3 linked regions of the Struthio camelus genome follow. The protein of the gene in region 2 purifies or fractionates together with the protein of the main gene of each other region. This does not show direct contact. Links are inferred from orthologs where the notes say so. Each region holds a gene or a part of one and is shown on either strand. Other genes may lie near its edges.

Region 1 (3,741 bases), on a different chromosome or scaffold from region 2:
CGGCCCCTCGCCCCCAGCCCCGCGCGGGAGGAGGAGGAGGGGGGGGAGGGAGGAGGCACAGCCGCGCCCGCTCCGCGCGCCGCCGCCGCTCCGGCGCTCCGGCTTTTGCTTCGCGCCCCGCCGCCGCCGCCGCCGCCTGGGCGAGGGGAGCCGGCGCGGGAGGGCGCGCGCGCGCGCCTCCGGGAGGGCGCGCGCGCGGGAGGAGGAGGAGGAGGGCGCGCGCGCGCCCCGTCCCCGTGCGGCCGCGGAGAGGCAGAGGCGGCGGCGGCGGGCGCGGCGCTGAGGCTGTTGTTTACCAGCGTCAGCTCTCCGCCGTGCACAGCGAGGAGGAGGAGGAGGAGGAGGAAGAAGGGGGGAGGCGGCGGCAGCAGCGCGGTGCAAACCCTGCCGCGGGCGAGCGGCGAATTAATTGGGAGGAGCAGCGGCGCCTGCGGCCGCCCGGCAGGAATTACGGACCCTTCGCCGCGCGCTCGTGGGCTTTGACCTTCAGCGGAGCGGCGCGGAGGGGAGCGGAGCGGGTCGCCTCCCCCCCAGCCAGCCCCCGGCTCGCGCCCGCGCCTCGGCCCGCCCGCCGCCGTCGGGGCTGGGCACAGCGCGGGGGAAGGTTTTGCAGCGCGCGCAGCCAGAGGAGGAGGGAGAAAGAGGAGGCCAAAAAAAAAAAAAAAAAAAAAAGGATTTACAAATTCGCTGGGTGGTTTTTGTTGTTGTTGTCGTCGGCGGCGGCGGCCCCCCCCCCCTCCTCTCCGCCCGCCCCCGGCGCGATGGCACGGCGGCTCGGAGGGATGCGAGGGGGAGAGCGCCGGCGGGAGGAGGAGGAGGAGGAGGCGGCGCGCTGAGCGGCGCGGCGCGGCTCGCCCTGCTGCTGCTTTGTGTGTGCGTGTGTGTGTGTCCCGGATTTTTCTTCCTTTTTAATTTTTTTTTTAATTTTTTTTTTTTTTTTGGTGCGTGGTGGGGGGAGAAGGAGCCTGTGGCAGCGGCGCCGAGGAGAGGAAGAGGAGGAGGAGCAGGGGGAAACCTCTTCGATTCATTTTTTGCTCCGAATTCCGCATTTCGGCTCTCTCTGCGGCCAGCCGGACTTGTGGCGGTGGTGTGGCTGGGTTTTTTTTTTGTTTTTTTCCTTTTTTTTTTTCCCTTCCCCCCTTTTTTCCCCCTGCCTCGCCGAGGGGGGGATCCCTTCGCCGCTGCGCGGAGGGCGCTGACCTGCCGTCGCGGGAAGCGCTGTTGTTGTTTTGTAATAAGCCTTCCCTGCGCGCTCCCCCCACCACCACCCCCGCCGCTTTTCCTTGTTTTTTTTTTTTTTATTATTATTATTATTTTTTGGGTTGTTTTTGTGGTGTGAGGGGTGTGCGCGCGCGCGCGCGTACGGCCTCCGCGTGTGCCGGCTTGGAAAATGGAGGTGGAGGATGCAGACTGCCAGCGCCGAGGTGCCTCACGTTTGCGACTGCTGTGCACGACGCGCCGCTGCAGCCAGCGCTGAGGGCAGGCGGCGGCGGCGGCGGCAGCGCCCGCGCAGCGCCCGCGCAGCCCGCAGCGCGCAGCTCGCTCGGAGCTCGGAGCTCGGCCTCGCCCGGCCGCCCCATGCCCGCCGCCCGGGGCTGCTGCTAGAGCTCCGCAACACACACACACACACACACATATATATATATTTTTATTTTGGTGTGGTTCCTCCGGAAGATCAACACCCAAGGACCTCGAAACCCCTTCGGCTTTTTGCAAGCCGAAGGGTCGTCGTCGTGTTTTTTTTTTTAAATTAATTATTATTACTACTAATTTCTTGAGGCAACGTGGATTTATTTATCCTGCCCCCTTTCTCATCCCCCTTCTCCCTCGTTCGTATTTTTTAGAGAACGGGGAGGGGGAGGGAAAAAAAAAAAGGACAATTTTGGACTTTTTTATTTTTACTTTTTTATTTTTTTTTCTGAAAGGGGGATTTTGTCCAATTAAAAAAAGAGGAATGAAGTCTGGCGCCGGAGGAGGGTCCCTCGCCTTCTTCTGGGGGTTTCTGCTCTTCTTCGCCACACTTTGTCTGTGGCCAACAAATGGAGAAAGTGAGTATTGTGCGTGGCGGCGCGGGGGGTGTCGGCAGGGGCTCCCTGGGGGGTGTTTGTGTGTGACGGTGTGCCTGAGGGGGGTCGGCGAGGGGCTCTCGGGGTGTGTGTGTGTGTGAGGGTGTCGGCGAGGGGCTCTCTGGGAGGGGGTGTGTGTGTGTGAGGGTGTCGGCGAGGGGCTCCCGGGGTGTGTGTGTGTGAGGGTGTCGGCGAGGGGCTCCCGGGGTGTGTGTGTGTGGGGGTGTCGGCGAGGGGCTCCCGGGTTGTGTGTTTGTGTGTGAGGGTGTCGCGAGGGGCTCCCGGGGAGGGTGTGTTTGTGTGTGAGGGTGTCGCGAGGGGCTCCTGGGGTGTGTGTGTGTGTGAGGGTGTCGGCGAGGGGCTCCCGGTGTGTGTGTGAGGGTGTCGGCGAGGGGCTCCCGGGGTGTGTGTTTGTGTGTGAGGGTGTCGCGAGGGGCTCCCGGGGTGCGTGTGTGCGTGTGAGGGTGTCGCGAGGGGCTCCCGGGGTGCGTGTGTGCTTGTGAGGGTGTCGGCGAGGGGCTCCCGGTGTGTGTGTGTGTGAGGGTGTCGGCGAGGGGCTCCCTCGGGGTGTGTGTGTGTGTGTGAGGGTGTCGGCGAGGGGCTCCCTCGGGGTGTGTGTGTTTGTGTGTGAGGGTGTCGCGAGGGGCTCCCTCGGGGTGTGTGTGTGTGTGTGAGGGTGTCGCGAGGGGCTCCCTCAGGGTGTGTGTGTGTGTGAGTGAGGGTCGGGGAGGAGTTCCCGGTGAGTGTGTGTGTGTGAGGGTGTCGCGAGGGGCTCCCTCGGGGTGTGTGTGTGTGAGGGTGTCGCGAGGGGCTCCCTCGGGGTGTGTGTGTGTGAGGGTGTCGCGAGGGGCTCCCTCGGGGTGTGTGTGTGTGTGTGTGAGGGTGTCGCGAGGGGCTCCCTCGGGGTGTGTGTGTTTGTGTCTGAGGGTCGGGGAGGAGCTCCCGGTGTGTGTGTGTGTGTGTGTGTGTTTGTGTGTGAGGGTGTCGGCGAGGGGCTCCCGGGGGTGTGTGAGGGTGTCGGCGAGGGGCTCCCGGGGGTGTGTGTGTGTGAGGGTGTCGGCGAGGGGCTCTCTGGGAGGGTGTGTGTGTGTGTGAGGGTGTCGGCGAGGGGCTCCCGGGGTGTGTGTGTGTTTGTGAGGGTGTCGCGAGGGGCTCCCGGGGTGTGTGTGTGTTTGTGTGTGAGGGTGTCGCGAGGGGCTCCCGGGGTGTGTGTGTGTTTGTGTGTGAGGGTGTCGGCGAGGGGCTCCCGGGGTGTGTGTGTGTTTGTGAGGGTGTCGCGAGGGGCTCCCGGGGTGTGTGTGTGTTTGTGTGTGAGGGTGTCGGCGAGGGGCTCCCGGGGTGTGTGTGTGTTTGTGTGTGAGGGTGTCGGCGAGGGGCTCCCTGGGTGTGTGTGTGTTTGTGTGTGAGGGTGTCGCGAGGGGCTCCCGGGGTGTGTGTGTGTGTGAGGGTGTCGGCGCGGCGGTGGCTGGCGCGTCGCAGCCCGCCTGTGGCGATGTGTGTGTTTTTCCGCCGGTTACTGAATCCGCTCCTTGAGCACGTTTGAAAGCGTTGCCCTCCCTCCCTCCTGCCCTCCCGGTTTTCCGGCGGGAGGTTGGCCTTTATGCACCGGTGAGAAAGAGCTGCGGCCGCTGCCTCGCGGCAGTGATAGCGGCCACCCGTCGCCTCCTTGCTGTTC
Region 2 (3,741 bases):
GGGGCTCTCTGGACGCCTGGGCACTCTTAGGGGTGTTGGGGTGCTCCCCGGATGCCTGGGCCCCCCCTTCTGGGGGTGTTTGGGGGGGGCTCCCCAGACGCCTGGGCCCCCTCTTTTAGGGGTGTTTTGGGGGGGCTCCCCGGACGCCTGGGCTCCCCCCGGGGGTGTTATGGGGGGGCTCCCCAGACGCCTGGGCCCCCTCTTTTGGGGGTGTTTGGGGGAGGGGCTCCCCGGACGCCTGGGCCCCCTTAGGGGTGTTGGGGTGTTCCCCGGATGCCTGGGCCCCCCCTTCTGGGGGTGTTTGGGGGGGGGGGCTCCCCGGACGCCTGGGCCCCCTCTTTTAGGGGTGTTTTGGGGGGGGGCTCCCTGGACGCCTGGGCCCCCTTAGGGGTGTTGGGGTGTTCCCCGGATGCCTGGGCCCCCCCTTCTGGGGGTGTTTGGGGGGGGGCTCCCCGGATGCCTGGGCCCCCCCTCTCTGGGGGTATTTTGAGGGCTGCCCGGACTCCTGGGCCCCCGGAAGCTGCCGATTTCCCCTGCCGCAGGGGGGTGATTCATGATTCCTTCTCCACCTGACTCATCCCCCCCCACCCCCGCAGTGGGCCCAGGTGTCCGAGGCTCCCATCATGGGGGGGGGGGAGGCGATTTTTTAATTACCCCAATGATGCTGCAGGGCCAGGGCGGGTTGGGAGGCGAATGGGGGACACGTGGGAGCACTGGGGGGGTATTTGTCCCCTCGGGGGGGGTTAATTTGCCCCCCAGGGCAGTTGCTGACGGACTGATTTCCCCCCCCCCAGGTGCGACGGACGCCCCCCGGCGAGGAGCCGAGTCCGGCCAAGAGGCTCCTGGTGCTGCTGCTGGCGGTGGTGGGCGCCCAGGTATACAGCACCCCCGGGGAGGGGACGCCCCCCGGGACACCCGCCGGGACCCCCAGGACACCCGCCGGGACCCCCATGACACCAGTGACACCCATCAGGACACCAGTAATACCCACGACACCCGCCATGACCCCCACGACGCCCGCCAAGACCCCCACGACACCCACTGTGACACCCGCCACAGCACCCAGGACGCTCGGGGCCACCCCTGGGTCCCCCCCATCTGGGGACAGGACAGTTTTGGGGACATCCGCGGGGCTGCAGGCACCTAACGGCACCCTGGGGACCGGGGCACCCACGGGTGCCCCTTCCTGCCCCCGGCCGCTGCTCTCCCCTGCCCTGCTGCCCCCCGCTGCTGGCCCAGGGCCCGCGGCCCGCTGAGGGGCACCCGCCGTGGGGCGGCACCCAGGACCCGGCACCCGCCGTGGGGCGGCACCCAGGATGATGGACTTGTGACGGTGCCCATCACCGTAGCCTCGGGGCTGCACCTCAGGGACCCTCCTGTCACTTGTGGGGAGTGGGTAGGGTGGCAGCCGGCACCTTTGGGTGCTGCCCTCGGGGTGGCTCCTGCCTGCACCCTCCCCTGGTTATTTATTTTATTTTATTTTATTTTATTTTATTTTATTTTATTTAAGTGGGATTTATTTAATTTGGGTTTTTTTCTATTTATTACTGTTATTTAAAGAGGGGCGGCGCCCCTCCCCTGACTGAGCGTATTAAAGGGGCGCGTAGGAGCCCGGCGCGGGCCCGGACGCCTGGGCCCTTAGCGAAGGGAAGAGCCGCTCGCGCGGAGGCGGGAGGAAACCGCCGGGGCGCGAAAGCGGGGAAACGAAACCGTCAAAAGGGCGATTGTTTAACGTTGGACTGTTTCGTGCGGGTTCCTCCCTGGAGGCCCCGCCCGTTACCGCCTCGTTCCGGCGTTTCATTAAATAATTAATTGAGTCGTTGGACGTGCGGGAGACGCTGCTTCTTGGGAACCGAGGTGGGGGGAGCTGGTTCCACGACATCGGTGTGAGCCCGGTGCCGGTCCGGACGAGCCCGTAGAGCCTGGTTCTGGTCTGGACGAGCCCGCGAGGCCCCGTCGGGGTCCGTAGAGCCCGGTGTCGGTCCGGACGAACCCGTAGAGCCTGGTTCTGGTCTGGACGAGCCCGCGAGGCCCCGTCGGGGTCCGTAGAGCCCGGTGTCGGTCCGGACGAGCCCGTGAGGCCCCATCGGGGTCCATAGAGCCCGGTGCCGGTCCGGACGAGCCTGTGAGGCCCCGTCGGGGTCCGTGGAGCCCGGTGCCGGTCCGGACGAGCCTGTGAGGCCCCGTCGGGGTCCGTAGAGCCCAGTTCCGGTCCGGACGAGCATGTGAGGCCCCGTCAGGGTCCATACAGCCCGGTGCCGGTCCGGACGAGCTCGCGAGGCCCCGTTGGGGTCGGTAGAGCCCGGTTCCGGTCTGGACGAGCCCGCGAGGCCCCGTTGGGGTCGGTCCAGCCCAGTGCCGGTCCGGACGAGCCCGCGAGGCCCCGTCAGGGTCCATACAGCCCGGTTCTGGCCCGGACGAGCCCGCGAGGCCCCGTCAGGGCCCATACAGCCCAGTTCCGGTCCGGATGAGCCCGTGAGGCCCCGTTCAGGTCCGTAGAGCCCGGTTCCAGTCCGGACGAGCCCATAGCGCCCTGTCGGGGTCGGTCCAGCCCGGTTCCGGTCCGGACGAGCCCGTAGCGCCCCGTCAGGGTCCATACAGCCCGGTTCTGGTCCGGACGAGCCCGTAGCGCCCCGTCAGGGTCCATACAGCCCGGTTCCAGTCCGGACGAGCCCGTAGCGCCCCGTCGGGGTCGGTCCAGCCCGGTTCCGGTCCGGACGAGCCCGTAGCACACTGTCAGGGTCCATACAGCCCGGTTCCGGTCCGGACGAGCCCGTAGCGCCCCGTCAGGGTCCATACAGCCCGGTGCCGGTCCGGACGAGCCCGCGAGGCCCCGTTCGGGTCGGTCCAGCCCGGTTCCGGTCCGGACGAGCCCGTAGCGCCCCGTCAGGGCCCATACAGCCCGGTTCCAGTCCGGACGAGCCCGCGAGGCCCGGTCGGGGTCGGTCCAGCCCGGTTCTGGTCCGGACGAGCCCGTAGCGCCCCGTCAGGGTCCATACAGCCCGGTTCCGGTCCGGATGAGCCCGTAGCGCCCCGTCAGGGTCCATACAGCCCGGTTCCGGTCCGGACGAGCCCGCGAGGCCCCTTTCGGGTCGGTACAGCCCGGTTCCGGTCCGGACGAGCCCGTAGCGCCCCGTCAGGGTCCATACAGCCCGGTTCCGGTCCGGACGAGCCCGCGAGGCCCCGTTGGGGTCGGTCCAGCCCGGTTCTGGTCCGGATGAGCCCGCGAGGCCCCGTTGGGGTCCGTAGAGCCCGGTTCCGGTCCGGACGAGCCCGCGAGGCCCGGTCGGGGTCGGTCCAGCCCGGTTCCGGTCCGGACGAGCCCGCGAGGCCCGGTCGGGGTCGGTCCAGCCCGGTTCCGGTCCGGACGCGCCGGTACCGGCTCCCCCCTCGGCTGTTGCCTCCTGGGAGCCGCGCTCGCTCTTCCGTACGCTGCCGCCTCACGAGCGCTGCCATGTTCCCCCTTCTCACTGGGCGCGGCCATCTTGCCCGCTGGCCGTACAGCCCCCCTCCCTCGCCTCGGCGGGCACTTCCGGTTCCGCCGGAAGTGGCGTCGCTCTTTCTCCGGCCGGGGTTGCCTGCCGCCTGCCGCCGCCGCCAGCGGGAGCGGCCCGGGGCCTGCGCCGAATCCGCCGCCATCCGCCCGCCGCCGCCGCCGCCGCCGCCATGACGGAGCAGATGACGCTGCGCGGCACCCTGAAGGGCCACAACGGCTGGGTGACGCAGATCGCCACCACGCCG
Region 3 (3,741 bases), on a different chromosome or scaffold from region 2:
CTGCATGCCTTTACATTGATCTTTAAATTGTTCATTAAGGAGTTGTATGTGACATACATTTGCATTCTTCAGATGAACCAGCACAAAAAGCTTACTGCTTTTCTTTTTCCTAGCAACTTGAACGTAGCATCCCTTTCCAAAGAGGCTCCAGATACACTCCTTTCATTTCCATTTGGCATAATAATATAAAGTCTGCCACTAATAAAAAATCTCCAAGCTAAGAGAACAGATTCCTATTTTCTACCTCACTTGAGATTAGGGTGTACTTCTACACATTTTAAAATTTTTCTTGCAACTTTGTGACAGGTAGGGAAGAAAACCCTGAGGGATTCTTGCTTCTGGCATTGAGCGTGGGATACATGATGGGTGTATCTTACCCTGAGGAGAGCAGTATGTTGTCAAACCAAAATGAAGGTGGTGAAAGGTGAATTCAGTGAAGACAAAAACCTATTTTGGGCCAAAAGGGCAACAGCTTGTTCAATCTTGATCTTTGGTATGAATACAGAGCATGAAAATGAGCCTTCTGATCCTTCTGAATTGGGTTTTAAGGACATAACTGGACTAGCACAAGATAAGAGTGCTACTGATAGCGAATTTTTTGATCATTTGGTGTCAGCACTTCCTATTGTTCATAGTCTAGATGGTGCATCAAATCCATTCCACAACAGACCATCAGGTCCAATGGAATTATAACCAAGTCTAGTCACTAACACCTAAAAGCAGAGCTAAATTCCCTAAGTCTGTGGAAGCTGAGAACACCTTGTGCTTGTACATTTAAGTTCTGCTAAAGACTTCTGTAGGCACATGCTTACTTTTCACGAACCTTAAGCACTGTCCTGGACAGAACGGTTTTCGGAACCACAGCAGATCAGATACTTCTATTAAACACTGCAAATGTGCTTTTAAGTCCGTGATACAGGCCAGGTTTTTAAACCATTTTAATGATTTATGTGCATCCCTAGGTACCTCATTCTATGTTGCTTAAAACATATAGCAGCTGATGTGAAAGGCACCAAATTGCAAAGAGAAGTTCTTTATTTAAACCAAGATCAGGTTGGTATGACCGATACTACAGTAGACACATAACAGCACGACTGATTCTACAGTAGACACATAAGGTTGAGTAAGACACATAAGTAAGACACATTCAAGGCACATGCAAAGTAGGTGACCACCGAAAGCAGCCATGGCTGTCCCCTCACTTGCTTCCATGTCCTTTCTAGTGCTGACAGCATCAGGTAGTTGACAGAGGGGATAGAAACCACATTGTCCTAAATGCCAAAAAAGGCAGCAGGGAGGGATATAGCTGGGCCAGAGAGGGAGGAGGATCACCATGAACCCCAGAAAGTAGAGACCAGGGAACCACTGAACCATTCCTCTGTAGGGTAAGAGGAAAAGAGGGTTAGCTGGGAAAACAAGGTCCGTTATCTCTCATCTACCTGGTAGAATAGTCACACAGGTCACACACTTAGATGCTTGGGGCCGTAGAGTCCATACTCTACATTAAAACCAGATTTGCCAAAGGGAAGAGAAAGGTTCATGAGGTTCTCCTCCTCAGGGGAGGAGGAGTAGGCAAGTTCCCACTTCTGACCCCTCTTATCTCCATTTCCAGAAGATTGTATTTTGCTGCTAACAAGGTTAAAAACAAAATAAGTTGCTTTGTTCATTATCCTAGGGGCAGCCAAGCAGTTTTGCTTATGCTAAGGCTAGCCTTGTGAAAACTAGTACATCCCTACCTCAGAAATGGGCGAGCATGACAAGATTTTACACAACTCTCATACAACTGGGATTATAATGCAATTTAAGAAGTTAGAAGGTACGCATTCTATACATCCTCAACAGTCTGCTCTCCCTTCTCCCTTCCCTTGCTGATAGTTCAGCTTTCCATTTTTCTGTTACTGAAATGCAGCAAGCTAGCTTGGTATGGCTTGATAAAGATACTTTCCTCTGAAATGACATTCCCAAGCTTCCTTTAAGCTATGTCCAAAGTCTACATTTCAAATGCAAATCACTGCTTGGAACACTTGTATCTTTTCCTGTCCCATCACAAACTTCTCTCCTCAAAATCACTGTCTAAAGTTTCCTGGTTTACTGTGTATTCGTATGATAATTACCTGGGGTAAAGGTGTCAGTTGGAATCAAGTTCAGTGTGCTTTTAGAGAGACAGGACTCATGTACATCCTAATATATCATTTACAATTACACTCTATACCTAATCAACTATGAACGAAATAGTTGGCGATGGCTAGCACTAAAAATCACTAAAAAACAGAGTAAATGCATTACAAGTTTCACTGATTCTTGCAGTTACTGTACTATTCTCATGCTACTATTTTACTTACATCAAAAAACAGAGGAACGGGATGGGGGAAAATCCAAACCTTCCCTCCCTTTTGAGTAGGCTAAAGGAAATAACAGGATGTATCTTGTCTGAATACAATACACACAAACATGAGAAGCAGCAGATTTGAAGTACTTAGTTAGTTGCATAATTGCTATTGTAGCCATTACAAACTGGAATGACAAAACAGTTAAAACTAGTGACCTGCACCAAGCAGAAAAGATTCAGGAAGATATCTCAGCCAGCTCTGATTCAATAAAATAAAGTCTACGCATCATCCTCAAGCACAAGTAGTATTATTCCCAGACACAAACATTCAGAATTTTGTTTAAACAGCATCTTGGACATAACATTAAAATAAATATAATCATAAGTTACCTCAATGCAAGCTACTGTAAAACCCTAGGCTCGTATTTTATTTACAGTATATCCTTTCAATCACAGCCTCAAAAAATAGTCCTGTAATGAAATAACCACAGAATTATTTGTTAGACAGATGAAGGTATACATGGGAAAAGAAAAAAATCACAAGACTATTCTATTACACAGGCAATACAGTTTTATTATGTTCTTTCACCAATGTAGCAAAAACGTTTAACAACCGAATGAATAATCAAGGAAACTTAATTGTCAACGGGAATTTAAGAATTATGTTCTAAATTTTAGACCAGGAAGGCTTGACAGGGAGAAAACAAACCATATACACACTGTAATAATAGTCTCTATTACGAAGATTTAATGCCTTCTTTAAAAGCACTGAGATTATTGAGGCACATTACTGCAGGTTATGTATCATCTCCTCTTTGGCAATGAGATGTGTGGTTTTGTTAACTAGGGCCATCAGTGAGTTGAGCTTGTGAGACCAGTCATTGAGTATATTGTTTGGGTCCTTAGGCCTCTGAAAATTGATAATTCCTGCCAGCCTGTCTACTTTAGCAAAGATGGTCTTATTAACTACTAGGTTGGACAGGAACTCCTCCGATTCCTGCAAAGACAAACAGCACTAAGTCAAGATAATAGCATTTTCAGCTACCAAAGCATCAAAACGCCTCCCAAACAGCATTACACCACAGCAAACAAGGTTTTATTTATACTTAATAGAAATAGACTAGTAGTAATACTGTATTTACAAAAACTACATGATACTGTAATAATACCTGTGGCATTTCAAGCTACTAGTACCATCTATTCAAAAACATTTTCTTTCATTTGAACTACATCTCATTACCTTTTATGAAATTATAATTTGAATACACTACACCAATAGACTCTTAACACTTTTCAGTGCTTGGCTACACAGATGTCAGAATGCCTTCCAACAAACACACAAAGTGACAAATATTTGATTAACGTACTGTTACTCCCAAGACTTTACACTACTACTTCTCAAAAAAAGAACC

What was found.
Region 1: the proteins of RACK1 (region 2) and IGF1R purify together in Homo sapiens (affinity purification with western blotting; 4 studies listed by BioGRID, with this or other methods). This does not show direct contact. The link is inferred for Struthio camelus from reciprocal best matches to the Homo sapiens genes RACK1 and IGF1R.
Region 3: the proteins of RACK1 (region 2) and HELZ purify together in Homo sapiens (affinity purification with mass spectrometry; 3 studies listed by BioGRID and IntAct, counting the BioPlex papers as one, with this or other methods). This does not show direct contact. The link is inferred for Struthio camelus from reciprocal best matches to the Homo sapiens genes RACK1 and HELZ.

Annotation. Positions count from the first base shown.
Region 1 is NC_090953.1:5,227,530-5,231,270, forward strand, and holds the start of IGF1R (insulin-like growth factor 1 receptor), read left to right. Parts: upstream 1-796; 5' UTR 797-873; intron 874-1,569; exon of another isoform or gene 1,570-1,925; 5' UTR 1,926-1,954; coding exon 1,955-2,048; intron 2,049-3,741. UniProt on the Homo sapiens protein: Receptor tyrosine kinase which mediates actions of insulin-like growth factor 1 (IGF1). Binds IGF1 with high affinity and IGF2 and insulin (INS) with a lower affinity. The activated IGF1R is involved in cell growth and survival control.
Region 2 is NC_090977.1:572,699-576,439, reverse strand, and holds the start of RACK1 (small ribosomal subunit protein RACK1), read left to right. Parts: upstream 1-1,354; 5' UTR 1,355-3,666; coding exon 3,667-3,741. UniProt on the Homo sapiens protein: Scaffolding protein involved in the recruitment, assembly and/or regulation of a variety of signaling molecules. Interacts with a wide variety of proteins and plays a role in many cellular processes.
Region 3 is NC_090960.1:4,353,487-4,357,227, forward strand, and holds the start of HELZ (probable helicase with zinc finger domain), read right to left. Parts: upstream 2,854-3,741; 5' UTR 2,720-2,853; intron 1-2,719. Other genes in the region: PSMD12 (26S proteasome non-ATPase regulatory subunit 12), read right to left, coding at 3,117-3,326. UniProt on the Homo sapiens protein: May act as a helicase that plays a role in RNA metabolism in multiple tissues and organs within the developing embryo.